Linked DNA regions of Macaca mulatta. The protein of the gene in region 4 purifies or fractionates together with the protein of the main gene of each other region. This does not show direct contact. Links are inferred from orthologs where the notes say so. Each region holds a gene or a part of one and is shown on either strand. Other genes may lie near its edges. The genes, in order: SMARCA4, EP300, TRIM33, SMAD2, SP1, CTNNB1 and USP15.

The links.
Region 1: the proteins of SMAD2 (region 4) and SMARCA4 purify together in Homo sapiens (affinity purification with mass spectrometry; 3 studies listed by BioGRID, with this or other methods). This does not show direct contact. The link is inferred for Macaca mulatta from reciprocal best matches to the Homo sapiens genes SMAD2 and SMARCA4.
Region 2: the proteins of SMAD2 (region 4) and EP300 purify together in Homo sapiens (affinity purification with western blotting; 4 studies listed by BioGRID). This does not show direct contact. The link is inferred for Macaca mulatta from reciprocal best matches to the Homo sapiens genes SMAD2 and EP300.
Region 3: the proteins of SMAD2 (region 4) and TRIM33 purify together in Homo sapiens (affinity purification with western blotting; 7 studies listed by BioGRID and IntAct, with this or other methods). This does not show direct contact. The link is inferred for Macaca mulatta from reciprocal best matches to the Homo sapiens genes SMAD2 and TRIM33.
Region 5: the proteins of SMAD2 (region 4) and SP1 purify together in Homo sapiens (affinity purification with western blotting; 3 studies listed by BioGRID). This does not show direct contact. The link is inferred for Macaca mulatta from reciprocal best matches to the Homo sapiens genes SMAD2 and SP1.
Region 6: the proteins of SMAD2 (region 4) and CTNNB1 purify together in Homo sapiens (affinity purification with western blotting; 5 studies listed by BioGRID, with this or other methods). This does not show direct contact. The link is inferred for Macaca mulatta from reciprocal best matches to the Homo sapiens genes SMAD2 and CTNNB1.
Region 7: the proteins of SMAD2 (region 4) and USP15 purify together in Homo sapiens (affinity purification with western blotting; 4 studies listed by BioGRID). This does not show direct contact. The link is inferred for Macaca mulatta from reciprocal best matches to the Homo sapiens genes SMAD2 and USP15.

Annotation. Positions count from the first base shown.
Region 1 is NC_133424.1:11,772,225-11,776,273, reverse strand, and holds part of SMARCA4 (SWI/SNF-related matrix-associated actin-dependent regulator of chromatin subfamily A member 4), read right to left. Parts: intron 3,530-4,049; coding exon 3,302-3,529; intron 3,051-3,301; coding exon 2,952-3,050; intron 2,695-2,951; coding exon 2,617-2,694; intron 1,905-2,616; coding exon 1,686-1,904; intron 1-1,685. UniProt on the Homo sapiens protein: ATPase involved in transcriptional activation and repression of select genes by chromatin remodeling (alteration of DNA-nucleosome topology).
Region 2 is NC_133415.1:10,336,751-10,339,648, forward strand, and holds the end of EP300 (histone acetyltransferase p300), read right to left. Parts: coding exon 1,904-2,898; 3' UTR 793-1,903; downstream 1-792. UniProt on the Homo sapiens protein: Functions as a histone acetyltransferase and regulates transcription via chromatin remodeling. Acetylates all four core histones in nucleosomes. Histone acetylation gives an epigenetic tag for transcriptional activation.
Region 3 is NC_133406.1:125,857,461-125,861,509, forward strand, and holds part of TRIM33 (E3 ubiquitin-protein ligase TRIM33), read left to right. Parts: intron 1-555; coding exon 556-679; intron 680-2,012; coding exon 2,013-2,087; intron 2,088-3,860; coding exon 3,861-4,013; intron 4,014-4,049. UniProt on the Homo sapiens protein: Acts as an E3 ubiquitin-protein ligase. Promotes SMAD4 ubiquitination, nuclear exclusion and degradation via the ubiquitin proteasome pathway. According to PubMed:16751102, does not promote a decrease in the level of endogenous SMAD4.
Region 4 is NC_133423.1:44,427,805-44,432,487, reverse strand, and holds the start of SMAD2 (mothers against decapentaplegic homolog 2), read right to left. Parts: upstream 3,227-4,683; 5' UTR 3,048-3,226; intron 1-3,047. UniProt on the Homo sapiens protein: Receptor-regulated SMAD (R-SMAD) that is an intracellular signal transducer and transcriptional modulator activated by TGF-beta (transforming growth factor) and activin type 1 receptor kinases.
Region 5 is NC_133416.1:60,525,602-60,530,305, reverse strand, and holds the start of SP1 (transcription factor Sp1), read right to left. Parts: upstream 3,020-4,704; 5' UTR 2,981-3,019; coding exon 2,974-2,980; intron 2,470-2,973; exon of another isoform or gene 2,273-2,469; coding exon of another isoform or gene 2,191-2,272; intron 1,634-2,190; coding exon 1,476-1,633; intron 1,181-1,475; coding exon 1-1,180. UniProt on the Homo sapiens protein: Transcription factor that can activate or repress transcription in response to physiological and pathological stimuli.
Region 6 is NC_133407.1:104,579,228-104,583,273, reverse strand, and holds the end of CTNNB1 (catenin beta-1), read right to left. Parts: intron 3,063-4,046; coding exon 3,002-3,062; intron 1,946-3,001; coding exon 1,737-1,945; 3' UTR 1,725-1,736; exon of another isoform or gene 1,420-1,724; 3' UTR 641-1,419; downstream 1-640. UniProt on the Homo sapiens protein: Key downstream component of the canonical Wnt signaling pathway.
Region 7 is NC_133416.1:69,672,360-69,676,408, forward strand, and holds part of USP15 (ubiquitin carboxyl-terminal hydrolase 15), read left to right. Parts: intron 1-1,878; exon of another isoform or gene 1,879-1,963; intron 1,964-2,235; coding exon 2,236-2,409; intron 2,410-4,049. UniProt on the Homo sapiens protein: Hydrolase that removes conjugated ubiquitin from target proteins and regulates various pathways such as the TGF-beta receptor signaling, NF-kappa-B and RNF41/NRDP1-PRKN pathways.

The DNA.
Region 1 (4,049 bases), on a different chromosome or scaffold from region 4:
CTGGGGCTGGGGAGAATCAATGAATTAACAGGAAATGGCAAATCGGGGCAAGGCTTCTTTGGGAGTGACGAGAATGTCCTAAAATGGACTGTGGTGATAGATGCACAACTCTTGGATACACTGAAGATGACTGTGTCATATACCCTAAAAGGGTGAATTGTATGGTATGTAAATTACACCTAGAAAAATGTGTACATAGAGCATCCGCATATGAACTGATCTTAAATTTAAAAGGCACTCACTGCCTCAAATATGTAAGGCTGAGGCGGTCGTGGTGGCTTATGCCTGTAATCCCAGCTACTCTGGAGGCCGAGGCGGGTGGATTGCTTGAGCCCAGGAGTTTGAGACCAGCCTGGGTGACACAGTGAGACCCTGACTTTACAAAAAATTTAAAACTAGCCAGGCGTGGTGGTGTGTACCTGTCGTCCCAGCTACTCAGGAGGCCGAGGTGTGAGGATCACTTGAGCCCCCCAAGAACTGGAGGCCAGCCTGGGCAACATAGCAAGACTTTGTCTCTATTGAAAAAGAAAAAAATGCAGGGCCGGTGACACTCATACAGCAGTCAGACAGCTCTGCGGTCACACAGGTCTGCGGCAGGGCTCACACTCCGGCTTTTCAGGGTTTCTCTTCTGGGTCCCGGAGCGCTCTGCTCGGGAGGCTGGCTGGGGAACAGGATGGCCTGTGACCTGGGCTCCTGGTGTGTTTCAACAGCGCCCTCTGGTGCACAGCTTGGCAGGCAAGCTCATGAGTCTGGGCTGCTGAGGTCCCAGGAGGAGCCTGGGGCTGCTTGGCTACATGCGCTGGGCCACATGGCTCATTCCTGGGTATGGCACTTTGTACAGCATAGCCAAAAGCCGCCACCTGCCTTCTCGGAATTGTTACTTCAGGACATTTTAATGACACAACTTCATGGATGGAGTCTGAATCATCATCTCCGTAACTCAGAGCCCCTGAGATGGGAAGGGGTTTGATTTGTCACCGTAACCCCAGTGAGGACGTCAGTGCCAGGCACCTGTCACAGTGTGCCTTAGGCTGGGAAGGGTGGGTCGGGGGCGGTCCCAGGAGCACCACATGACTGACTCAGACATCTGTAGCTGCTGTTGCAGGGCCAGGTGTCATCTGCTGAGAAATGGCCCTCACGTCAGCTCCACAAGCAGCTGCCAGCCCTGTGCAGCGCCTGCCAGGTTCAGAGGCCCTTGGGGGCTTACCCGCTCCTCCCTTCCTGTGATTGAGTCTCCCCAGCACATGGGGGGGACTTGCCCAAAGTGAGGCTTCCTGGAGCCGGCAATGCACCGCTTTGCAGGGTGCCTCAATAGTCCATGATTCACCCTTGTGCCTCCCTCCTGGCAGGTACTGGGAAAGCCAGCACTCCACTGAGATCAGCGACATGATTTTTAACCTCGGGAGGAGGTAAACCCTTGTACTTGAAAGACCAACCATACCCAGCAGCAGGTTTTGAGCTACTCAGGAACTATGGGTCCTCCTTGCATTCTGAGGAGGAGCCAGAAGGACCTAACCATCCCTGGCCCAAAACAGAAGGCTCTCGGCTGTCCGCGGAGCCTGGCCAGGAGTGGCCCAAGGGGAGCGTTTTGGACCCAGGCCTGAGTCCTGGCGGTGGGCCCTCTGTCTCCCCAGCCCTGCCTGGCACTGGCCTGCGGGGCCTGCCGGGCCTCTCCGGCATGTACCTTGAGCCACTGCTTCTCTGTCAGTGAGTCGCTGTAGTCCACCTCCTTGCGGTGGCGGGAGCCGCGGCCAAACATCTTCTCCTCCTCCTCCTCACAGGTCAGGCGCTCCACCTCCGCATCATCCTTGATGATCCACGAAGGGAGCTCGTCCTCCTCCATGAGGCGCGGCTTCCGCTTGGGGTTGCGGGCCTCCTCGCGCCTGCGGTCCAGGTCCATGCGCTGGTGGGTAGGGAGGCAAAGGGAGAGGCATCAGCATGCGGGCACCAGGGGCACACTAGAGCCAGAGCGCCGGGCTCAGAAGGGCCTTTCTCTGCCCGTGGGGACCCATGCTGCTGCAAGAGTTAAACAGCAGCTCTTCATTGTTCGGTGGCTGACCCGGCCTGGCTACGTCCGACCCTGACTAGGGGCTCTGCCTCGGGAGGTAGAGGAAACTTGAAAAGATAGAAGGTTGCACAAGAGGGCTGCAGACCCCAGCAGAAGGGCGGCAGCTGCGCGGCACAGCGCCGGTGGAGGCATACGGCCTGCGGGCCAAGAGGCCCCTGCTTGGCTGCCTTACTTCCTGTTTCCCACCCAGGGGCGAGGGGGCTCTGCAACTGAAGGTCTGGTCAGTCCCTTGGCCTTGGATACGGCGAACTCCCTCTGAAAGGGAGTGCATGAAGCCCTGAAGAGCCCGTTAGAAAACAGAGCCGGTGGGGCAGGTCTAGGGTCACACACAGAATGGCTGGGTGTGCATCTTGCCCTCCGACGCCATGCTCAGGAGACTGGGGGTGGAAGAAGGGTCAGGCTGGAGGCATGAGTGGGCTGCACTGTGAGCTGTCCCCAGTTCCCTGACCTGCTGGGGACACCACCATGGGCACTAGGACCTCTGCTTTGCTCCTGGTGGCGGCACGGTGGGATGCCTGAACCATCCTGTCCAGCCCGCAGTGCTTACCATAAACAGATCAAACTCCTCCTCGTGCCGGGCGATCATCTGGTTGACGGTCTCGTCGTCAGGCACCTCGTCTTCCTCCTACAAGATTGCAAACTGTCAGCGCCGCTGCGGAGGGGCCGGGGTGGGCGGCTGCCAAGCTCAGAGGTGAGCGGCGGCGTCCGTGGGAATGAGCTGGTGGTCCCGGCACGGCTGCGGTGGATGGGGACCCACACGGCAGCGAAAGGCACACACACGCACACGCACACGCACGCTCCGTGGGACCAGGGCCCTTGCTGGCCGTCTCAGCCGAGAAGCCGAGGATTGAATGGGCATGGAGACTGAACTACCCCTCTCACCTTTAGAGGTGGCTCCTCCAAGTCGGGGTTGACGCCCGCTGGCGGAGGGGCAGTGTGGGCGAAGCTGGCACTGCCGCTGCCCGTGCTGCAGTGTCTGCTCTGTGGATAAATAGAGGACTTCAGTCTCCAGGGCTGTCAATCCGGCGTCTTTTACCAGCAGTTTAGGAAAAAAAAACCACTTCAAAGAAAAAGCAAGTACTCATCCTCTTTCCGTTCAGCCCACACTCCCTTTACTCCAAAGGGATGCAAAAAAAAATAAGAGTGCAAAAAAGGTAAAAAAACAAAAATGAAAGCCGCTCATGCGTCCACCATTCACGCTGGGGAGGGGTCGGGGCCGGCGCTGGGCTCACCTCATCCTGCTCCTCATGCTCCAAGATGGCCTGCAAGAAGGCACGCCGCTCGTGGCTGGAGGACTTCTGGTCGAACATGCCAGCCTGGATCACCTTCTGGTCCACGTTGAGCTTGTACTTGGCCGCGGCTAGGATCTTCTCCTCCACGCTGTTGACTGTGCAGAGGCGGAGCACGCGCACCTCGTTCTGCTGCCCAATGCGGTGGGCTCGGTCCTGCGCTTGCAGGTCCTGGGGGAGGAGGTGCCAGTCAATCCCAAAGGAGCCCAGGAGGTCATAAAAGGGAAGGCGGCCTCCGATACTAGCTGGACAGGTGTGTTGTGAGTACCACTCTCAGCCTGGCAATTCTGCCCAGCCTGATCTGCCGCTGCACGAAGACAGAGCTGGTGGAGCCTGGGCCCCATGTGTCCCTGGGGGGAAGGGGGCTCTCATCACGTTCCTCCAGAAGTGCCACCTTCTACCTTACTGGGACCCAACAGATACTCGGGAAGAAAGCACCAACCCCCAGGGGGTTATATTCCCAAGCAGCTCCTGTGGCAGCGGCATGGCTCCCCACAGCGTGGACTTGCACAGTTGAGCACCATTTACAGGATGTGGCCAAAGCCTGGTGGCGTTGTGGCAGTGCTTGGTTTGGCTGTGGGCCCTGCCACTCTCAAAATGCACACAGAACTGGAACCAGGTCTCACCTCTGTGAGCCTCAAAACTCCCTCAGCTGACACGGGGCCCATCCCGTGGCTACTGCGTGGCTTGA
Region 2 (2,898 bases), on a different chromosome or scaffold from region 4:
GTTAGCCAGGATGGTCTCGATCTCCTGACTTCGTGATCCACCGGCCTCGGCCTCCCAAAGTACTGGGATTACAGGCTTGAGCCACCGCGCCTGGCCTCCAACTAACTTCTTAGTATGCAGTTATTAAACAGGAGTGTTCCCCTAGCTTCTTCTTTTTTTGTTTTTAAAGGATGGAGTCTTGCTCTGTCGCTCAGGCTGTAGTGGTGCGACCTTGGCTCACTGCAACCTCCACCTCCAGAAGTCTAGAAATTCTCCTGCCTCAGCCTCCCAAGTAGCTACAGGTGCCTGCCACCATGCCCTGCTGATTTTTACATTTTTAGTAGAGATGGGGGTTTCACCATATTGGCAAGGCTGGTCTTGGAACTCCTGTCCTCATGATCTGCCCGCCTTGGCCTCCCAAGGTGTTGGGATTATAGGCATGAGCCACCGTGCCTGGCAAGTCTTGTTTTTTTCAAGAAGTTACTTGGGACTTAGGCAGGTATGATCCGTTGTCTTAGGTCCTCCTCCTCATCCCTGTAAGATGGTGATTAGAAGACCATGTGGTCATCCTTAAGCGATCCTGTATCAAGGTGTTAAGTAGGTATCACTTCCACCTTGACTGTTAGCTGGTACCTGCAGTACTTTTTCCCAGAACTTTGGACAAATTAACCAAGATCTACTTGTGAAAAACTGTATGTAGTAAAGAGGCTATAAGCTAATGCTTTCACTTTTTCCTCTGAATCCTAAGCACCGGGCACTTAAACTGGTGCACACCAAGACAAAGATGTGTTATCAAGTGAAACAAAGTCAGGGTGTCTGTCTCACACAGTTTATTTAACAATAGGTAATAAGAAATCAAATTTAACAGTCTATACAGTGATCCAAAGTTCATATTTATAAGTAATCAACTTTAATTGCATGATTTACAACAGTTGAGGGTTTTTGCTCTCTATTTTCAAGTTTTATAGAAAGTGTGTGTGTGTGTGTGTGTGTGTGTGTGTGTGAGTGGGGGTAGGGTAAGGAAGAAGAAAGCAAGCAAAGAAACCCCCAGGGACATTTTGCATGTTAAAATCATCCCACCGGAATCGTTTCTTACCCTCTTTTTAATTTTTTTCCTTTGTTAGATGTAAAAATAACGAAAAAAATTCTTTCAAGAAACAGAAACCACAATATATAATACATCAATTTGGCAGCTGCCCCTGTATATTTTTGAAAAAGTCATTTTTCTCTCTACATGTACAAATTATTTTAATACTTGAAGTTTTACGCTCAGACTTACAGAATAGAAAATTTTCTGGAGCACAAAAGTTGACTTGAGGGGAAGAAAGGGAGTTTTTTTTTTTTTTTTAAACGTTTTTTAAAAGAATGAACATCTTTGCACCCAGAGAAAAAAAATTGGTATTTTAATATATATTTATATATATTTATATATATATATAGAATGTAATTTTAAAGTAACATTAACCCCTTTTGTCCTCTGGTTTTAGAAATGTTTTAACTCTTCCATAAAGTGAGGAAAATAGGGAAAAATGTCAACCATCTGCACCAGTAAATAATAACTATTAATATTACATATTTTCATTAATTTAAAAAAAATAATAAAACCTATTGGAGGTGCAAGGCAGGAGCATATTGTTTGGCTTCACAGGCCTCAGCCTCCTCCCAGTGCACACTTGAACCACACACACAAGGGGAAAAAAAAGGCTGGTGGTAACCAGCCATAACAAAAATATATTCTTTGTATTCTATCATCCCTCAGGTTCATCTTGCATGTTTGCTTTAAACCACAAACGGCTACTGCACAGTTCTTATATGTTCCAAGGAAAATTGTCTTTTAGGCTATGAAAGATTCAAAAAAATTGTTTTCAGTACAAAAAGTCTTAAGAGAAAATAATTTTTGCTCCCAAAATACTACAAGGTGTCTCTAGTGTATGTCTAGTGTACTCTGTGAGAGGTTTGAATTCAAGTCTGAGTTATCGGTGCTGAGTCCCAGGTCTGTGGCGCTTGCACCATGGAGGTTTGCCATGCCTGGATTGCTAGCAAGCTGAGAAAGCATTGAATTCTGGTCCGGGCTGGCAAAATGCCCTTGTTCCATGGGGTTGGCCTGGGCAGCTACCAGTCCAGGATGCGGGGAACTTGTCTGTGGGGAAACGTGGTGTGGAGAAGGCTGAGGCTGCATCCTTGGAGAAGGGCTGGAGTGGGGGGGCTGGGACTGTGGCCGTGGAGAAGGGACAGGCTGCGGAGAGCGCACTTGATTGGAGAGAGAATTAGGGATCTGCTGGCCTTGTAGGTGTGGAGACTGGGCCTGATTTGGGAGCATATGCTGCTGGGGGCTCATGGGGTTGGGCTGAGCAGGAGATCCCATCTGTTGCTGAAGGAGTCGCTGCTGATAGGCCTGTAGACTGGCACCTGCCTCTGCTCCCAAGGCCTGGGGGAGCTGGCCCATCTGTCCCATATTTCCTTGTTGCATCTGTTGCATGTGATGTTGCATCCGCTGCTGCTGCTGTGGTGGGTAGCCAACTCCTTGGGGTTGCTGGAACTGGTTATGGTTAGCCATTCCTGGGCCTATTCCTGGCCCTGCTCCCTGTTGCTGCTGCTGTTGCATCATCTGTTGTCGTCTCAAGATGTCTCGGAATTGTGAAGGCATGGTGTTGTGGTTCATGTTCATCTGCTGAGACTGGGGGCTCATCCCTCCCATGGGCGGCTGGAGTTGCTGCTGGGGTTGCTGCTGGGGCAGGCCAGCCCTCTGGACGCCCGCCTGCATTGGATTCATGTTCTGCATGGCTGGATTGGAGTGGACCCCCTGCTGACCTGGCATGGTAGGTGGCTGCAGCCCTGGCTGCCCCTGGGGCATGCCAGGCTGCCCAGGGATGGGTTGTGGATTAGAGTTGGCATACTTGGCAGCCCGCTGCTTGATGA
Region 3 (4,049 bases), on a different chromosome or scaffold from region 4:
GATTGTGCCACTGCACTCCAGCCTGGGCGAGGGGGAGATTCTGTCTCTGAAAAAAAAGAAGGTATATATACATGTGCTTGTGCCTGTAGGTATGTGTGTGTGTGTTCTAGGTTTTGACCATGAAAAAACAACTGATTTACTTTTGGCATTTTAATACATGCCAAAACGGTACAAGATACCTGAGAAACTCTGTAACCCGTGCTCTTCTTATTCATAAATACTGAGTCTACATAATGGTGATACTGGGACCTGGGAGAGTTGGTCTTAGGCCTTATGCTGCAAGTACTGCTCATCACTACTTAGAGACCCCCTTTTAATGCAGAGATGCCATTTTTATAATGCATTCCAGAAAGTAATCAATTGATGCGTGACTAGGAAAGTTTAGAGGAGTTTTTAATCACATGACTTCACCTGATGAGATTTCACAACTATAAAACCTCCCTTTTTCCAAAAAATTATTAAGAAAATAAACCAGGGCCCTGTCTAGGGAAGTAGCTTCTCTAGAGCAGGCTTTTTTTATAATTACGTGGACTAATTACCTATTTCCCTGTCTAGTGGGGACTGGATATGCACATTTTGTAGAGATATTGGAAAGCCAGAAGTTGAATACGATTGTGATAATTTGCAACATAGTAAGAAGGGGAAAACTGCACAGGGGTTAAGCCCCGTGGACCAAAGGGTAAGTGTCAAATAAGTTGGTTTATCACTGGGATTCAGTAGTGGTCTGCCTATATATACATCTTTTTTTTTTTTTTTTTTTCCTGTGTAGCATACACAAAACCTGGTAACATTTAATTTTTAATCCTGTCATCTGATGGTATATTGATGATCTCTGAAGTCTTTTTTTCTCTAACCCTGAACTACAGACCCTTCTATCCGGATTCCTCAAACTTAAGATGTCCCAACTAAAATCTTAATTTCTAATCCTCTCCTTCCAAACACAAAACCAAGCAAATAACAACATAAAAAAGTGTATTCCTCCCCCAGTATTCCCCTTAATTGAATGATACCACCATTCATTTCTGTTGCTCAGGTTAGAAACCTATTAGAAATGAAATAATAACAACTATAATACCATTTTCTCACCTTTTCCCACCATTACCATTCTAGACAGACATCGTAATTTCTCATCTGGACTATTGTAATTATCTCTTAACTGCTCTCCTCGCTTCTGCTCTTGATCTTTATAGTCTGTTTTCTGTATTAAACAGCGTTCTTTTAAAAAGTAAACAAGTCTATCATTTCCTTGCTTAAAATTCTCTGATAGCTTCTCATCATATTAAAAATGGAAACTCTTTCCTTACTTTACTCAGAATTTTACCAATCTGGCCTGTAGTCTGATTTCCAAAGACAGAATCTTTTGCATTGTCATGCGGTCATTAGAGTTAAGTTTGGCTCTACTCTGGTGTATATAGTTGCAAAAACCCTCATCCACTATCTGTGAAGACAAGATACGTGTTTAGGGTATACAAACTTGTATGACTTGTATTAAAAGAAGTTTAGATAAATAGAAGACTGTGAATGTAAAATGCATCTCAGTTTACTCATGATTGGGTAAAAACACGTTTCTGGAGTTAGATTGAGAAGGCCATTTTTATTTTGAACCTGACTGGAGTCATTTGAAGAAAGGGGATAATAACTTTCAACATTTATCTTGCCTGTCTAAGGAATTACCATGAGGAGCAACAGTGATGATTTATTTACTTATTTATTACCAAGTAATTTATAAATTTTTGCACAAAGTGTTAGATGTTGCTTTTGTGACTCCCTTCCATAAATTACCTTAGTTATCTTCCATTCTTATTTAAAGTAGAACCAAAGATAGTCTGAAAACAAAATGAGAAGCACAGGAGTTTTCTTTGGGTGTTCATATTTACTTGAGTATCTAATAAACAGGGGGCTTGTGTTCAGTTTGTTGTAATCAGACTTTGTTGTGATATAGTTCTCATTCTCGAGAATGTTTTATTAGGAGAAAAATGTTTCATGTGCTTTCCTTTCCTTGTTTGGGCCAGAAATGTGAACGTCTTCTGCTTTACCTCTATTGCCATGAATTAAGTATTGAATTCCAGGAGCCTGTTCCTGCTTCGGTGAGTTGCCTACCTTAGTAGCTCAGTGGGGGAAGTCTCATAATACTTAAGGGTATGGGCTCTGGCGGTTGGGCGCGGTGGCTCACGCCTGTAATCCCAGCACTTTGGGAGGCTGAGGCGGGTGGATCACGAGGTCATGAAATCGAGACCACGGTGAAACCCCGTCTCTACTAAAAATACAAAAAAATTAGCCGGGCACGGTGGCGGGCGCCTGTAGTCCCAGCTGCTTCGAAGACTGAGGCAGGAGAATGGCGTGAACCCCGGAGGCGGAGCTTGCAGTGAGTCAGATCACACCACTGCACTCCAGCCTGGGTGACAGAGGGAGACTGTCTCAAAAAAAAAAAAAGAAAAAAGTATATAGGCTCTGGCCTTACACTAAGCTTGTATTACACCTCAGCTTTCTGGAATAAGCTCCTCAACCTCTCTAAGACTCAAGTTTTCTGACACCATTTCTTACCTCATTGGGTTGTTCTGAGGGTTATATAAGATAACCTATGTAAAGTGTTTAGCATAGTCTATAGTCATTGACTTTTGTAAGGGATAAAGGCTCTAAAATGCTACAATAAATGGAAGATTAGAGGTGTTTGGTGCCTAATAAGTGGGATAAGAATATTCTACACACATTTTATTACTAGCCATCAGTTGTTGAATAGTACATTATTACATACCAGGCCTGTTAGAGAGTATTAAATGGTAGTTGACTTGTTTACTGAGTAGCCTGAGAAATGAATTTTAAATCACAAAAGGCGTAGACGGAAGATGTTTTGTACAAGCAGTAATCATCTGTTTCTGGAAAATTGTCTCATCTTCAAGTGCAGGGATTTTAAAGTAGAAAATGACTTTCAAATGTTTTCTTTTTATGGGCCATTAAAATAGCTTCTTGGCCAGGCATGGTGGCTCATGCCTGTAATCCCATCATTTTGGGAGGCCTGGCCGGCAGATCACTTGAGGTCAGGAGTTCAAGACCAGCCTGGCCAACATGGTGAAACCCCCTCTCTACTAAAAATACAAACATTAGGCGGGTGTGGTAGCGCACGCCTGTAATCCCAACTGCTAGGGAGGCTGAGGCAGGATAATTGCCCGAACCTAGGGGATTGGAGGTTGCAGTGAGCCAGCATGGCGCCACCGCACTCCAGCCTGGGCGACAGAGCAAGACGCCATCTCAGAAATCAATTAATCAATCAATAAAATAGCTTCTCTAACTTTACTTTTATCCCAAGGGTAGAAATTTTTAGCCAGGGTTGGGGCCAGAATTCCCTAGCATGAACACTAAATGATTAATAAAGTTAGTAAATTTTTCTTACGTGCTAACAGTCTTGCTTCCTCTGTTACTAAGTCAAGATTTCGTGATGTAAATGATATTATCTGTGATGTCTTCCAAAAGACATCATATTCTAATTGTAACATTAATATATTTTATAAATTTTCTTTTTAAAAAAAAAAAGAAAAACTCTTGAGGAGTCATAAAATTCTGATAAGTCAAATGTTGCCTCAAGGCTACTGGTTGGTTACCCTTGCTAATTGCTTTCTTTCCAAATCTTACTATTAAAAGTAGGACTTTGGGGGCTTGGACTAACCATGAAGATTGGCACATATTCTGCGTAAGATTTGGTTTTCATGAAGATGTAAAGTACATATGTCTGTATCAAAATTTGCAAGCAGCTGGCTCTATAATAACTTTTTTTCCCCTAAAATTAATATGCTATGCATTTTCAAATTAAACAGTTTGGCATTTTTGGAGAATTCTTATTTGCCATTATTTGCTTATTTTAGATACCAAACTACTATAAAATTATAAAGAAACCAATGGATTTATCCACCGTGAAAAAGAAGCTTCAGAAAAAACATTCCCAACACTACCAAATCCCAGATGACTTTGTGGCTGATGTCCGTTTGATCTTCAAGAACTGTGAAAGGTTTAATGAAGTATGTTAACTTCCAACCTATAGAGTCTTGATTTGT
Region 4 (4,683 bases):
ATTGCCCAATATTGTAACTGAGAAACAAAATATTAGCCTATGGCTCTCTGATTCCAAAACCCACTACACGAGACTGCTGTCCAATCCTGAGTCTCGGTTTAACTACCTGTTTTTACACTTTATTCCTGATCCTTCCACTGGAACCTGAGTTATTCAACTTTGCTTTCTTTCCTTAACCAGTTTCTGTAACTAAAGGGCAATAAGTGATCAAATTAAGGTCAGATGAAGCTTAGCTCTACAAGTGTACATCTGTTCAGCAATAAACACGTTTCTGAAAGACTGGTTGTATCTTCAGTTTGTATAAGCTGTGTAAAACTGGTGACAATTGTTCCCAGTGACACTGAGTTAACACTTCACATCTTCCCTAGTGCTATCCGTTACATGTGATAGGAAGCAAGGCAAGCATACTTTAGGAATGGCTCAGTAATGCATGTGCCCCTGATTTGTACACTAACAACTGTCTTACTCTGAACACTGGAGAATTGGGCAAAGGACATGAGTTTCCACTTTTCTAACTCCATTAAGGAACAGGGGTGTACTTGTTTGCTGGTAAGATACTTTATTGCCTAGTCCAGAGCCTGACACACAGAGAAAGCTGTTTATTGCTACTTGCTCAATACAAGTTATTTGTTGAAAATAAATGCACAACCTCTCCTAAACTGGTTTTAAATTCTTTACGTTTCACATTTTCTGACATACCTTTGGAATACTTAGTGGAAAACATCTTACCTCTTACAGAAACTATGGGCCTAAAAATGACTCTTCTACACCCATCAAAAGGCTAGGAATCTAAAAGACATGTCCCCCTCCACCCTCTAAAAATGACTCTTTGTCCCAAGAATATGAATAAATCTCCATCTGCCAGGCTGCACTAAATACAGCTTTTATATGCATTACAAAAACACCTGTATTTAAAGCTGCTACAAAAGGAGGTTTTTGGAGCCCTAAAGCACAAAACCAACAGAATCAAAACCAAAAAAGAATAAGGAAAGTCTTTTAAAACTGACAGTATTTGCAAAATGTAAAAATTCAATAGGTCTTTGCCCAACAGTTTACACAGCTAAACTGAGCTTTTCCATTCACATATATTCCCCCAAAGGTGAAGTAACCAGATTATAGCAACATGATTCTAATATTTACAATGTGAAAATGAAAAGGTGACAACCACCTCTGGCCATCTTGAAGTAGAATAGAAACAACCTTTGTTTCTATCAAAGAGAAGTTTTGTTGAAATACACAAAACCATCCCCAATATTCCTACACCAGAGTTAAAACACATACCAAGCCTGGTAAGTCACAAACAACAAGAAATTACCCTGCACAGTTTCTTAAAAGACTATTATTTCACGAAGCGTACAGACTGTGTAGAGACATGACCACTTATGACTAAGTAAACGTAGGTTACAACCTTGAAAAACCAAACTTTTGTTGAACACCTACAATGCTTGTGGCCGCACTTAAGAAGGTGTGGCTAAGTATAAAAACCAAGCTCTAAGAGCATTTTCTTACTAAAACCCCCAAAATCAACGTTTCCAATCACGTTACATTAAACCTGGCCAGTGAACTGCCTTGAACTCAATTAAATCCAATAGAATTTAGTATTTATAGTAAAAGTGGGTACACTCTTTACAAATGCCAAAAGATGTGAACTATTTATATTTACTACCAAAGCTCAGTTTACGGCAAAGGGTAAGGAACTTTAAAAATAAAAGTATTACTTTTGAATTTAATATAAACGTCTGCTAAATGACCTTCTGGCAGAGGAAATTCTTTAAATATCTTGTATGGGTTTTCCGAAGGCAAACTTTTTAAAAACCCTCAAACTATGGTATATTTATGAAGCTCATTTTAAATTATTTCTTCCATCTCTGCTTCACTAATTCATGTATTAAAACTGTTGAAACTCCATTTAACAATTTAACTTCTCTGTAAGATAGAAACTTTTTTAACGGGGGTTAAAGTAGAATAGCAAATTTTCAGCATAAGAGCAAATTTATTATTAGGCTAAAGGAAAACATCCTATCAGCGATTCATTCATACGAAACTATCAGGTTCAATTCATATGAAGTCAGAAGAGAGAAAAAGAATTTTGGAAATTCACATCGCAAAGATATTTCTAAAAAGATGTAACTATTCCAAGTTATTTACTTATTAACAATTATTTTACACATGACATTTTAAAAGTTTCACACACCCAAATTTAAGATAGTCCAAATTGTAACAAACAAGACATGACTTTGATAGAAAATGCTGCTTGCAAACTCGTTTTCCCTGGAGATTTCTTTTTAAAAGATATGGTTGACAATACACTGGTGGTATTTTGCTTTTAAAGTGTTATGAGGAAGGAATAACAAAACCAACCCAGGTATTTTCTGTTTAGGATCAAAAGGAAATCGTAAGGATAAATAAAAGACAAAAAAGGGCCTGACCCAAGGACAGTATCCCCCTCCAAGAGAACAAAGTAAGTTGCAATTTTGAAAACCAAGTTTGAAATAAAAGAAATCACTTCGAGGGCTTTTCCAAAAGCGGGTGATAAAAACTAATAGGCTCCACCCGCAGAACTTTCACAAGTGAGTGAAGGATGATCACAGTTATCAGCTGTGTGCGTGTTTGTGAGTACACACAAGCCATGGAAAACCCGAGACTACTATGGTTAACAAAGGTTACCGGACCAAAAAAAAAAAAAGTGGAGGCAAAGTATTACGCGCCCCTAACAAGGCTTCCCCACAACTCCTGAAACAAGAGCTCTGGCCCTTCGGCTTTAAAAATCAGAACCACAAACTATGGAGTGTTAGAGCCGCGAGGGGAAGGGACGCAGGCAGCCCCCACCCCCGCCAGGCTGGGCGGCAGCGCCGGGCCGCCGAGCACCGTACCTCCCCGGCTCTCTGGCCCCGAACCCGCACGCCCGGGCCGGCGCACCCACAGCCCCCGAACTCACCACACCCCAGCCCCCACCCGCCGCGGCCATGTGACACAGCCCATCGCCCGGGCCGCGGACGCACGCAAACACACCCCTAGCCGGAGGCCCGCGGGCGCTCAGGCTTTACCTGCACGGTGGCGCCAGGTCCCGCCCCGTCAGATCCAGGGGGTCCGGGACCTTTTGTTCCTTCCTCTTCCGATGGGATGGAGGGGGCTGGGAGGGGAACAGGGGAATGGGCGATTGGAGGCGGAACTGAAAACACTCCCGGCCGCCGTCTTCCCGCCCCGCCCCCAGGCCCGGGCCCGGCCGCTTGCCCCGGCGCGCGGGAGGGTAGAGGGTAGAGGGAGGGTAGAGGGAGGGGAGGGAGGGGAGGGGAGGGGAGGGGACGGAGCCTGGCCGCCGCCCGCGGGGAAGGAGGGGGTGAGGACGCGCGCGCCCGCGCTGCCCCTCCTCCCCTCAGGCGCGCGTCCGCAGCCCTACCGGCCGCCCGCACGGCCGCGCCCTCCACCGCCAGCCCACCTCCGCTTCCGCCCTCCGCCCTCGGCCGCCGGCCGCCGCGGCGCCACGCACCCACCTCCCGGCGGCTGGCGGGCTGCTGGCTGGCGAGCTGCTCCTCCGCCGCCGCGGCCGCGCGGGTAGACCCGCCTGCCACCCTGGGCCGCGGGCCCCGCCGATTCGCCAGCGCAGCCCCGGGGCTGGCACCCTGCCGCCCGCTGATTGGCGCCTCCAGCCGCCCGTTAGGGCGCGAGGCACGCCGGCCGAAAGCCGCGCGGGGCGGGCACGGAAGACGGAGGGAGCGGAGGAGGAAAGGAACGAGGCCGAGGGCCGCGGGCAGGGCCGGGGGGCGAGCAGGGCGCGGGGAGTCGCCGGCCACCGCCTCCCCACCTCCCTTTGCCTACGGCCCGCCCCGCCTCCCGGCCGGACCGGCGGCGCCCGCAGCCAATCAGCACGCGGGGAGCTCGGGGTGTGAGCCGCGCATCGGGGGCCTCGAATCGGAAGGGAGACGTCGCTCGCTGATTGGTCCCGCCTCCCCAGTCTAGCGTGAGGCGAGGCGAGGCGGGGCGCGGCCGGGCGGGGCTGGACGCCCGCGGTTTCGCTTGAGTTGGACTCCTGCGCGCTCCCACCGGAGTTCGGGGGCGGCGGGGGAAAGGCCTGCGCCCTGCCGCGCGGGAAGACGATTCCCGGCGACCGCCCGATCCCTCGCCAGCGTCGTGGGGTAGGGCCTGTGGGGGCCTGCCGCTTCGTCCACAGTCCGTCGTGAGGCCGGCAGCGGACACGTGCTCATCCCACTGGGAGGCCCCGGGCAGCCCGGAGGACGCGCCTAGGAGAGAAAGGGGGTTTGGGAGAAGCCCGAGGACCCGTCCCGCGACTGGGCGCGCCCTATGCAAATGAATGGGCGGGGCCCTCGTGCTGCTGAACGAGGGTAGGTTCGCGATGTAAATAAGCCCAGAGGTGGAGTCTTTGGAGAGCACTTAGGGCCCGGGTAGGGGATGCCAGATCTAAGTGTTTAACCTAAATCTTGGTTCCGTCTTCAGTAAAAATGATATCAATAATCCACGTCCCGAAGGGTCTGTGAAGTCTAAAAGAAAGGCATGTCATAATGTCCTCTAATGGCTGGGATATCTTCCCTTCCTCTTTTCTCCCGTTGCGGCGTTTAGGCCCCAGCTTGGGCATCTGCCCTACAGGAGGCAGCAAGGCCCTAAACTTACCACAGACCAGGGCATAACCGCACCCAGGGAAAACCTTGTTGCTTTTACCCTTAG
Region 5 (4,704 bases), on a different chromosome or scaffold from region 4:
GACCAGAGTTTGGAACAGCCTGAAGCTGGAGGTTCTGGAGGGTTTCTTGGGAGATAGCTTGAGTTGTAAAGGTCTGCCCTGACAATGGTGCTGCTTGGAGGGCCTGGAGGGCCTGTCCCCCTTGAACTAGCTGAGGCTGGATAAGAATTTGTTGCTGCTGTGTCTGCTGGTTTTGCTCTCCTTCTTTTTGCTGACCTGCTTGCAGTGAGCCTCCAGATGTCTGGTTTTGCTGGATGTTCAGAGCATCAGACCCCTGTAGCCCACTGACCCTCTGGGGTGTCTGGCCTTGAGAGTTGGTCCCTGATGATCCACTGGTAGTAAAGTTCATAATTCCCATGTTGCTGGTGGTAGTAGTAGTTGAGTAGCTATTGGCATTGGTAAAAAAGGAGCTGGAACTGGCTTGTGATGACACCAAGCTGGCAGAACTGATGGTAGTCCCTGAGGTGACAGGCTGTGAGCCGCTCTCCTGGGACCCAGAGCTGCTGATGGTGACTGCCTGAGAGCTGGGAGTCAAGGTAGCTGCAGAAACGCTGTTGACAGGTAGCAAGGTGATGTTCCCATTCAGGGCCACTGGTACATTGGTCACATACTGAGTCTGTCCTGAGAGTACATTATTAGCCAGGCCTTGGAGGGGGACAGCCTGCTGGAGTAGATTTGGCATAGCAGCAATGATGTTGCCTCCACTTCCTCGATTTGTGATAATCTGTTGGTTTGCACCTGGTATGATCTGTATTTGACCAGAACCATCCTGCTGCACTTGGGCCCCAGTGGCAGCAAACTGCAGCTGTTGCCCATCAACGGTCTGGAACTGTGGGATTACTTGATACTGAATATTAGGCATCACTCCAGGTAGTCCTGTCAGAACTTGCTGGTTCTGTAAGTTGGGAGTGGCAGCCACAACATACTGCCCACCAGAGACTGTGCGATTCTTGGAAGACTCACTGCCATTGCTGCCATTGGTACTGCTGCCACTCTGTTCCTTTGAGGTAGGGGTAGCCCCAGAGGAGGAAGAGATGATCTGCCAGCCATTGGCACCCTGTGAAAGTTGTGTGGCTGTGAGGTCAAGCTCACCTGTTCCCCCTGACTGACTCGGGCCCTGGGAGTTGTTGCTGTTCTCATTGGGTGACTCAATTCTGCTGCAAGTTGCTGCCAGCAGAGCCAAAGGGGATGGCTGGGACTCCTGGCCAAAAATAAGGGAGAGGAAAGGAGTTAGTGACACCCAGCTGCCAGCCTAGGGGGCAGTATACAACAAATAAACAGCAACGTAGTGCAGACAAGGAGCAAAAAACAGAAACAAAAAGCTGACCTATCTGTATTGCTGAAACTCCTGTCTTTGGGGATCTCCATACTCTTACTTCTTATCTATAAAATGGTTTTGATAAGCTCCCTAAAAAGCTTTCTATGAAGAGTAAGGCAATTATCTAAGAATATTTACATCCTCTCAACATCTTCCCCACTCTATTATTATCACTTACCTGCCCTCCTCCTCCTCCACTGCTGCTGCTACTGCCTGTGCTGCTACTTCGAGCCTGTGAAAAGGCACCACCACCATTACCACTGCCCCCATTATTGCCACCAACTCCTTTTTCAATCTTCACCACAGCTGTCATTTCATCCATGGAGTGATCTTGGTCTAAAACAATTAAAAAACAAACAACTTAAACTTGAGGGAAGAAAAGAGATGAGGTAGGAAGGATAAAAGGAGGCTATGATGAAATAGCAATGACTAACAGGAAGGCGAAAGGCGCCAGTATAAAGAAAATGGATTGGAGGGCAGAGGGGAGCTGCAGGGCATGCAGGACATGAACTAGGCTCAATGGTGCCAAAAGTGGGCCTCAATTCTCCCTTACACAAAATTAACTAAGAAAACATTCAAAAAGTGCTTTGGGGATAGGAAATGTGAAGGATGGTAGTCATGCTGAAAGAGTTTCAAAATAAGAAAAAGTATCCTAAGGGAAAAAAGGACAAGTAAGGCAAAAAACAATATGTGGGTGGATGGAAAGATTGCTAAAATTAAGGTTAAAAGAGATGGAGAGGCCAGGCGCGGTGGTCATGCCTGTAATCCCAGTACTTTGAGACGCTGAGGCAGGAGGATCACCTGGGGTCAGGAGTTTGAGACCAGCCTGACCAACAAGGAGAAACCCCGTCCCCACTAAAAATACAAAATTAGCCGTGTGTGGTGGCGCATGCCTGTAATCCCAGCTACTCCCGGAGGCTGAGGCAGGAGAATCGCTTGAATCCGGGAGGTAGCAGTGAGCCGAGATCGCACCATTGCACTCCAGCCTGGGCGACAAGAGCGAAACTCCCTCTCAAAAAAAAAAGAGAGAGATAAACAAAAACCCAAGTATTAAAAGTAACAAGAGGAGAAGGGAAAAAGAAATAAAAAGTTTTAGTAGGAAAACATTTGTGAATACTACTAAGGAACTAAAGGGGTGTACTGGTTAGTAGTCAGGAGGTTTCGGGGCGGAGGGCGGGCCCTGAGGGAAAGGGCGGTTTCGGGGTGAGGGGCGTGGAAAGGGCGGGACGGTGGGGCGGGGGGAAGGGAAATCTACGGAAAGTGGGGGGAGGAGGGCGCCGGAGCAGGCGGCGACCAGAGGACGGACCAGACAAGCGGTTGGCCCGGGCGGGGCCTTCACTGCTCGGGCCGCCCCCGCGGCTCCAGCCCCCGGCGGGAGGAGCCTCAGGCGGGCGGCCGAGTAGTGGGGGGTAAGGCCCGTCCCCCGTGGCCGGGGCGGGCAGGGGGCGGGCGAGGCCACGCTGCCCCCTCCCCCGGGGCGGGCGGCCCATCCCCCTCCTCCTCGGAGGCCCAGCCACTGCCCCGTCTCCCTCCCTTCCCTCCGCCCCGGGCGGGACCTAGGCCGCCGCCGCCGCCTCCCGCCCGCCCCCCCTCACGGCGGGGATCGCCCGGTCGGCCCTCGCGCGCGCCCCCTCACTCGCCTCCCACCCCTAAGCTTGGAGTGGACTCATCCTTACCGCTCATGGTGGCAGCTGAGGGACAAGCTCAAGGGGGTCCTGTCCGGGGGGGTTGGGGGGGGCCGGGAAAAACGCGGACGCTGACGAGGCAAGCGAACCCGGACCGGACAGGGAGGGGGGGGTGAGGAGGAGGGAGCAGCGCGCCACCAGCCCAACCTATGCCCCGCCCCTTCTCTGCTGCCCCGCCCAATGAGGGAGGGGGAAAGGTGGGACTTGCAGAAGAAAGACGGTGAGGTTTTCCAATGGCAAGACTCGCTTGCTCTCTAAGGCGTGTAAGACTAAGTTGCGTGCCTGGTGTCCGCCCAAAAAGACAGCCCTCTCAGTGTTAAAAGCCAATGAAAGATGCAGGAAGTGAAGATGGGCGGGAGCTGGGGATTATTGGCTTGGAAGGAAACCAGTCAACCGGCAGGCGGGCTCCCTGAGACATTGGGATAGGGAAAGGTTTGATAGGAATGACAGAACAACGGCCAACTAGAATCCGGGATATGCTTGGGCAAAATCCTAGTGGGAGGAGAGGTAAGAAGTAGACAGGAATAGGATAGGCTGAAGCTGATTAAAACCAATCAGAAATCAGGCGGGCAGCCAGGAAAGTTATGATTGGATTAAGACTGAAAAAAGACAGGAAAGGACGCATATTGACGTGAATTAAAAGCCAATTAAACGCCAGATTAACTCTGAGGGCGGAAACTTGGAGTGGCAGAGGAGAATTGGCGGCTCCCTAAGTTATTCAATCCAATGAGGGAACGAAGTAAGCCTGGCACCGCCTCCTAGTTGGCCAATGGGCGTTACCGGAGCCGCCCATCATGAGGGAGGGAAGAGGGCTGTGCCAAGAGGAGACCGTCGCCATATTGGCCCACCTCAGGGGACGTTGTTACAGTCATTAGGTGGGACGCTTTAGTGAAGTCTTGCAGCTCAACAGGTGTCAGAGCCAAGGCATTCGGCGCGCAGTTCCGCATCAACACTAGGATTTGTTTGAGTCTTCATTTAACTGCCCCTATAAAGTACCTCTCAAATCTTACCCGTTTCCCGGGTGGGCGGACAGGCGGGCAGATACCTCAATGTCGCTGCAAGCCCTGCGAGTGCAGCCGGAACGGGATTTGGGGACAGCGCTCACCAAATAAGTTAATACTGAGCTGACCAATATGCAGAGTCTCCGTAAGATTCCAGAAAACGCCATTTTGTTAAGTTCCGCCAGACAAAGGCGCTAACCACTTACGACTGGTTAACTTTTCAAGCTTTGAGGCTAAAGTGCGGATAAGTCACTTCCATTTTTCCGAGTTAATAGTAAATACCGCCTATGCATAAAGCAAGATAGTTGAGCTCCTGCTTTTTGCAATCACGAAGGTTAAACTTTACTGCAGGCACCTGGATTTCTGGCCTCCTCTTTATCCGTGTTTTGGTGGAGCCGGCCTTGATAGCTTGTCAATGACACGATAAGGTCATGTCCTTCAGTATTTGTATCTTAAATGTTGTCGCTTGCTTGTATGTTCTTATGTTTTAAAATCTGAATTCTCCTATACTATTTTAAGCCCTTTGGAGTTAAGAACTGAGGCCTTGGCCGGGCGTGGTGGCTCAAGCCTGTAATCCCAGCACTTTGGGAGGCCGAGACGGGCGGATCACGAGGTCAGGAGTTCGAGACCATCCTGGCTAACACGGTGAAACCCCGTCTCTACTAAAAAATACAAAAAAAAAACTAGCCGGGCGAGGTGGCGGGCGCCTGTAGTCCCGGCT
Region 6 (4,046 bases), on a different chromosome or scaffold from region 4:
ATCAATCAAAATAAAAACAGTAAATCAGAAACAGCTCTCCCTAAAGACAAAACACTTTCACTTTTTATAAGAAGACCAAAACAAGTCTTAACAGGTCTACCTGAAGAGATGAACTAAGCTTGTAAGACCTACCACCAGGATGACTGATAGGATCATCTGGCAGATAGATAGTGTGGAAGGCTCATTCTGGTTCTGATTATGTTCAGATAAACATCATCACTTAAACCTATTTAATTATTAGTTCAAAGTAGAGTTGAAGGAATTCCCCTCTCCCAATGAGTCACACTTGTGTGAAGGTGATTCAAATCCAAATCCAGGTAGTTAATATTTCATTACCTTAATGGAATCAAACCATCGGGGAGATTGGGGTAGAGAGAGATAGATGATAGACAGTCTGCTTGGCTTTCTCCCACAAAAGCCCAGAACTAATCACAATGTGCAAGGCTGAAACACGTTTTTGGGGGTGCAATGTAACCCAGGGCCAAATGCTGAAGAAACTTGGCAAATTGCATCTAGAGAAGGGCCTCTCTATCGCTATAACAAATTACTTCACTATGTATCTTCCTCAGTATAAAGTTGAGTTGGATAAACTTACCACCCTCACCATTTAATGACAAGAAAAAAAAAGAGTGACACAATCGAATGAATTAAAAGTTTAATTCTGAACCATTTTTTATAACCGCATTTTCTCTTGAAGCATTGTATCACAGCAGGTTACAACAACTTTGGGATAAAAGGCAACTGGTAAACTGTCCAAAACAAGGTTCCAAATAACACCTCTTACTGATTTACCCTACCCATACATATCCCAAATAAAGTTTTTGATCAAAAACATGAAATAGATCCACCTGCTTATTTTAAGCATATTAAAAAGGAAACTAATTGGACCATTTTCTATTTGTCTATTTTATACAAAAAGGCTACACAATGTTACACTTTATTCAGATTACAATTATTAGAGTGATTATGAATTAGTGTTCTACACCATTACTCAATTCTTAAAAATTAGAAATTGCTGTAGCAGTATTCACTATAACTTAACACTACGAGAGACTTAAACTAACAGTTACTGCAAAAAAAAAAAAAAAAAAAAAATTAAAGAGCTACTTCAAAGCAAGCAAAGTCAGTACCATTACAGATATTAAAAAAAAAAAAAATTTAACAAGCAAGGCTAGGGTTTGATAAATTCCATCTTGTGATCCATTCTTGTGCATTCTTCACTTCTTGAGTCACTCCCAAAATCCATTTGTATTGTTACTCCTCGACCAAAAAGGACCAGAACAAAAAGTTTACTTCAATTGTTCCCATAGGAAACTCAGCTTGGTTAGTGTGTCAGGCACTTTCTGAGATACCAGCCCACCCCTCGAGCCCTCTCAGCAACTCTACAGGCCAATCACAATGCAAGTTCAGACAATACAGCTGTATAAAGAGAGAAAGGCTGCTATTAATGTTTAAAACAGCAAATGTTACTCATTTGAGTATTAAGTTGCAAAAGCTGTGGCAAAAAACATTAAAGTTAATAACTTCCACACATGATCACATAACAACCAGAAATCTGAGAACATTCCGATGTTCCAAGACATCTCCTTTCAAAGTATATACCTGTTTTTGTGGCAGATTTACAAATAGCCTAAATCACTCCCACCCTACCAACCAAGTCTTTCTGAAATTCTGTAGGCAGAGTAAAAGTATTTTACCCAAACTGGCTTTTTAAAACTTCTTACCTAAAGGATGATTTACAGGTCAGTATCAAACCAGGCCAGCTGATTGCTATCACCTGGAGGCAGCCCATCCATGAGGTCCTGGGCATGTCCCAGATCTGGCAGCCCATCAACTGGATAGTCAGCACCAGGGTGGTGGCCACCCATCTCATGTTCCATCATGGGGTCCATACCCAAGGCATCCTGGCCATATCCACCAGAGTGAAAAGAACGATAGCTAGGATCTAGAAGAGTCAGGGTATGAACAAAATAGGCAAGAAGGAAGGCAAAAGAGAGAGGAGAGAAACAGACATAGACATTAACACTGAGGTTAGGGCATCCAAAGTTCAGCAGCAAACTTGTCAGAAAACAATGCTTTCTAGCCTCTTCAACTTCTAGCTTTTTTTAGCCAAGTAATTACTCAGTGCCAGACCACCCATGAGACTACACAAATAACGTCTGTTTCCATCAGAGAGGCACACCAGCAGGGCCTAGTCACATCATTAGTCTAACCCTGAACACACTGCATTTACCCCTGTCAGACTTGGGGTTCCCAAGAAGGAGAAGCAGGAATCTACTGTGTGACCACCTAGGCAATGAGAACTCATGGGAAGGAGGATTAAGACAATAATGAGGTCTGGCAGGTGTAATCTATCTTGACAAAAAGTCCAAGTGACACCAACAAAAGTACTAAGGAAAGTTAAGGCACTATTTCAATGAAACCTCAACATATTTTATCTTAGGGTTGACATGTTATTTGTCACAGTAAGAATCTGCGCTTTAGTGGTTTCATAATTAGGTAGAAGCAGATGAGGTTATAAATGTAAGACAGTTGTAACTGTTACTGGTCTACCCCATCCTCTATGTTCATTACCCAGATGTGAATTCGCTTTTCAAGAAAACCCTGATAATGCAACTATGTAAAAACCCACCCCAGATCTGAGCCTAGAGACAGGAGTTTTCCTGTCTTCCTTGGGTAGCTTGTAGACAAAAGGTATTATGAGTCCTCTGGCCAAAAAGAGAATAAAAAGCCAGGTAAACTGTAACATCCTACACTGCAGAGGCCTAGTAGTAGCATGTATTTGTTGGTGGTGTAATCCTATTGCTATTCATTGTGTGGCTCTGAATTCCCTGTGCTCCGTTAAAGATACTGTTGCTGACTGGAATTTAAGAACTGCTTTTAATTGAAGCCATTACTTTTCTGCCAACACTAGTTTCCCAGATGAGCAAACCAGCTCTTCTGATCAAGTTTTAGAACTTTAGCTTGATCTGGAGTTAATCGAGAAATATGAGACGCATACCATCCTGGCGATATCCAAGGGGTTCTCCCTGGGCACCAATATCAAGTCCAAGATCCGCAGTCTAGATAAACAGGCACAAGGCAAGAAAGAATAAAAAGCAAAATGAAAATTCTCAACTTAAAAGTACACTAATTTTTTTAAAGCATACTTTCAGATTACAAAGGAAACAAGTAACTCCAACATTACACAAATACTTAGAAAATGGAAGTTCTTCAAAACTCCACCCCTCAAAGATACATTTTTTTCTCTTTGCACCTCACATTAAAAATACTCACTGACTTGATCTTTCAACAAATACATATTAAGCACCAACTATGTGCTGCCAGGCACTGTTCTACGTGCTAGAGATATAGCAGTTAAAAAAAAAAAAAACAGGCAAAATGCCTACCCCCAAACAGGAGCTGCTGACAGGATGTGTTGTATGAAAGAAAAGTTTTAGCCTGAGCAGCTGGACAGACAAAGCTGACATCAAGACAGAGAAGACAGTCAAAACAGGTTTGTGGAAGGGGGTAGGTGGAGAAAGTTAAGGGCTCAAGTTGGAACATGTTAATAAGATGCCTATTAAAAACCCAAGTAACACACCACTCACTGGTAATTTGCTCTCCTTTATTTATTTATTTTTTTTTTGAGTTGGAGTCTGGCTCTGTTGCTGAGTGCAGTCTGTTAACTCCTGGGTTCAAGCAATCCTCCTGTCCCAGCCTCCCCAGTAGCTAGGACTATAGGCATCCATCCCCATGCCCAGCTAATTTTTAAATTTTTTTTGTAGAGATGGGGTTTCACTATGTTGCCCAGGCTGATCTTGAACTCCTGGCCTCAAGAGCTGCATCGTTTTAAACCTAATAATCTCTCTTTCCATTCGCTCAACAAATATAATCCACTGTTATGACTGTGTACCATCAGTGATCACTACAGAGTGGATAAAATAAACTTCCAGGGTGGTTCTAGTTTTATTAGAAACAATGTTTCAAAGGACACCTGTACTGAGGACAAATACTGAAGACAAATTCATAGCAGAAAGTCAAATAGAAAAGTTTTATTAAAGTTT
Region 7 (4,049 bases), on a different chromosome or scaffold from region 4:
TAGATGGAGTAATGTTGCAAACTTTCAGAGTGAGAGAACATGTGGAGGAATGACTAATTAAATAAAGCTGGAAGAGTTGAAAAGAAAAGAGTATTGACAAAGGATGAGGCTACATAGATGAGCAGAAGACAGACCCTTCTAAGAATCTGGGCTTCCAGTCTGTAAGCGGGGAGAGCCATAAAAGGATTTACAGCAAGGAAGCAACATGATGAGATGTACATTTTAGGGAGATCACTCTGGATACTATTGGAAAGCTAAAAAATGTTCAGTTATACCTGTAAGCTCTTTCCAGGATAAGAGTATGTGTGAATAATTCAGTAATAACAAAGTTTAAGAATTACTCAGGTTTGCGCAACTTGGTTCTTTTGAGATATTTGTAAATTAGGTTCTTTATATAATTGCATTAACAGACAATAATGGAATGTTATATTCTTAGCATAACCCTGAGCTGATCAAATATAAGAAGTGGAAAACTATTGGTAATTGTTGGAAATTCCTGTCTGACCTCTCTTTTGTCTGACTATTTAATGTTGATCATATTTTGTACTAAATCAGATGATACTAAGTGATGGCATTTACCATTCTAAATTGCCTGGACCTCCCTCTAGTGCTGGGTTTATAATTAAAAGGACATATACTACAAAAGAAGAAAAGAAACTGAAACTCAAAAGGAGTATAAGATTATGAGATAGGTTGAGATCTAAGAGGTAGAAAGTTAGGGAAGCATCCTTTCTCTTAATTGCCTCCTACACTGTAGCATACCTTTGTTTCTCTTGCTCACATATATTAAAAAGTTCTACTGCTGAAAATATGTATATGACTCTAAAGGCCTATATAGCTCACTCCAAACGTTTTAGCTGTTTTTATTATTTTAATTGCCTAAGAATAATATAATCGTAAATTCCATGATATAACCAGTTCTCCCTTTTGCCGTGAGGTAGGGGCCAGGCTAGCAATTTATAATAAACATTATTATTTTTATTATATAGAAAGTTTCTAAATAGATATTATTGGCTACTTCAGTAAACATGTTGATTTATAATTGAAACCACGAAATTGAGTACCACAATTATTTTTAAAAACTAAGTAGACAGTGACTGCATATTTTGAAATTTTAGCTAAACAATGCATAGTATATAGTCGTAGTTTATGGCATATAAGTTATCTGTATGAATTCAACAGACTGAACTTTTCATACCTACCAAACCTATCTAACTTAATACAGATGACTATAAGCAAGCTTCAAAAAACTTTGATTTCCATTAATGTGAACCCAGGCTCTCATAAAAGTGAGTTTCTACTATTTTCCATGCAAGCAGCTAGCTTCCTTGCAGCACCTTGCCACTTAATTCCAACACAAATATCTTCCTACAGCAAAAAAAAATTTACTTATGTGACCATATGTCTGTGTTAGTCATTGCATATTATAGACATCTAGTTGATAATACTGGGTTTGTATTGAGGTCAAATCATATGGATCGTCACCTTAAAATTATTCCAACTTGAGATAAAATGTGGAAAAATTGTACTTCTGCCATCTGTTTTATATTAAATATGAAATTATTTAATTCAGAATTGGAAAGAGACAATTAACTTGTTTATAGTTTTTATTTTGCCATAAAGGAAAATTGCATTGTTTATGACATTAAAGAAGAGCTGGAAGTGAGAACACACTTACCAGAGTTCACATACTGAAGTTTATTTTCTCAGGCTCAAGTAATCTGTACTGTCTCTTCTAAAAATGGTTGACCAAAAGGAAGGTTTAAAGGCTGCTCTTTCATGAGAAATAATTGACAATGGAAGCAGTAAATACCTCTATTAAGTTAATTTCTTGCTTGCACTCTATCTCAGTTTTTACCTACTCAGGCTAATTTGCAGGTGCCTGGGATGAGTAGACAATCCATAATTTCTACCAATCAAGTAAAAGAAGGAAAGAAAACTGAGCTTCTCTCCCAGTTACCAGGTAGTTTGCTGTGGTTAAAATTAATGCAGACTTTACAGCAGCAGATACTAGCATTTTTATTTATTATAAGTAATTATTTTGAAATTTGGGAAATGAATAGTTGAGTACATCATTTGAGTGTTTATTTGACCAGTTATTAGTGCAAGGAACCATCATTTAAATGTTCTCTATGTATTATAGCAAATCAATTTGTTTCTCTCTTCTTTTTAATGTGTTTTAAGAAAAATGAAGTATGGTTACTTTTACTTGAAAATATGTTTTATTTTTTGCAGTGTTTGAGCAACACACCTCCACTTACTGAGTATTTCCTCAATGATAAGTATCAAGAAGAACTGAATTTTGACAATCCCTTAGGAATGAGAGGTGAAATAGCTAAATCTTATGCCGAACTGATCAAGCAAATGTGGTCTGGAAAGTTTAGCTACGTCACCCCAAGAGCCTTTAAGGTAAGTGTGATAAATGCATTTTAGCAAGGGCACCTACAAGGGTACAAAGGTTGGTTCTTGGGGTAGGGGGAGTGAAAAATAGTAGCTATTACAATGGTTTGTGGCCCTCCAAAGGAATACAGTACATAAATAGATATACAATATATCTGTGGTATAAAATTTAGGTGGGAGGGATATGGAAGAGTTTTATCCGTTTTGTTTTTGTTTTTGTTTTACGTCTAAATCTGGGATGGGGAGAATAATGAAAAAAAGTTGAAAAACACTGGTGTGGTACAAGAATGATTATGGAGACAGCAATGAGCGTTTGTATAGTTGTTTTGGAATATAGTACATCTCTGGAAAACCTACGTGAATATTCTATACAAATGTGAAAGACTAAATTTGGGCGTTACTGAACTCTTAAGAACCCATTTTACTTTGAGAGTCATGAATTTGAAAAATTATCAAAATGAAAATTGTCTGCAAACCAAGCACTAAAAATTAAGTGTACTTTCAATATGGTTCTTAAACTTTTAAGGTTATTCACATGTGTGAATTGTTACTTATCAAGGTATTTATTGTTCAAATAAGAACTGAGCTGAAATTAAGCTTTATGGCTGAAATTTAGCTTTATGTTGTTAAAAAAATTCCTACTTAACTATATAGGTGAAACTTTGAGAAATTTTAAACTTGTAAAGAGAATAAGCAATTTTAAGTTGTTATTTATACAAGTAATTTAAATGGCATTGATATAGGACATCTACTAGACAACATTTTTTATTAGCTATATACTAGTTCTTAGAAAATAAAAAACAACCAGCAAATCAAAATACCTCTGTATTTGTCTTCCTTAACATTCTAAACTTTGGACATACTAGTCCAGACAAACCATCTCTCAGCTCTTTCCCATCTTTCTAATTGGTTTTGTTTTGGTAGATTTTCTGTCTTGAAATTATGTGTAAATAGGTTCTTGACTTATGTGAGTTTTTTCTGTCACATGATGATTCGTACTATTAGATTTATTTTCAGTCTCATCCAAAAAAAAATAGTGATGCAAAGATTTGGAAAATTGAATATGAACATTAATGTTTCTGTTCTCTCTATAAGACTCATCCTCCTTTTGCACATAAAAACTAAGTGAGAGCCTAGAGTAGTTATCTTAAAAATGCTTTCAGATACGTGATTATCTTTATGTGGTAATACAGCAAGGATGAGAACCTGCCTCTTACTATCTACCTACCAGACATTTACAGGAGGAGGCAATAGGAATACCTAAAGCTAAGAATTAAGAACATCTGGAAAATCCTTTGACAAATAGTGAAACAACAATTAATGACAATGAAATCTATGACCAAAGATCAATACATTTTTATATATAAGGATTACATGTGTTGATCTGTTTTATCCCAGATAAGCTTTGTTGAGTGCTTACTAGGAATGCAAAACAAAATATAATTCATATATATTCCTGTTGTTCATGTATACAATTTTTATTATTCACAGGAGTGAGTCCTTAACACTGAACTCACAGCAAACAGCACTATAACTCATGTCTTAATGAAGCATATCTAACACATACTTTTTCTCTATAAAGCACATCACAGCTTTCTTGCATTTAGGAACACTAGCCTGGCATGTTAGTACTTCGTTTAGTGGCCATT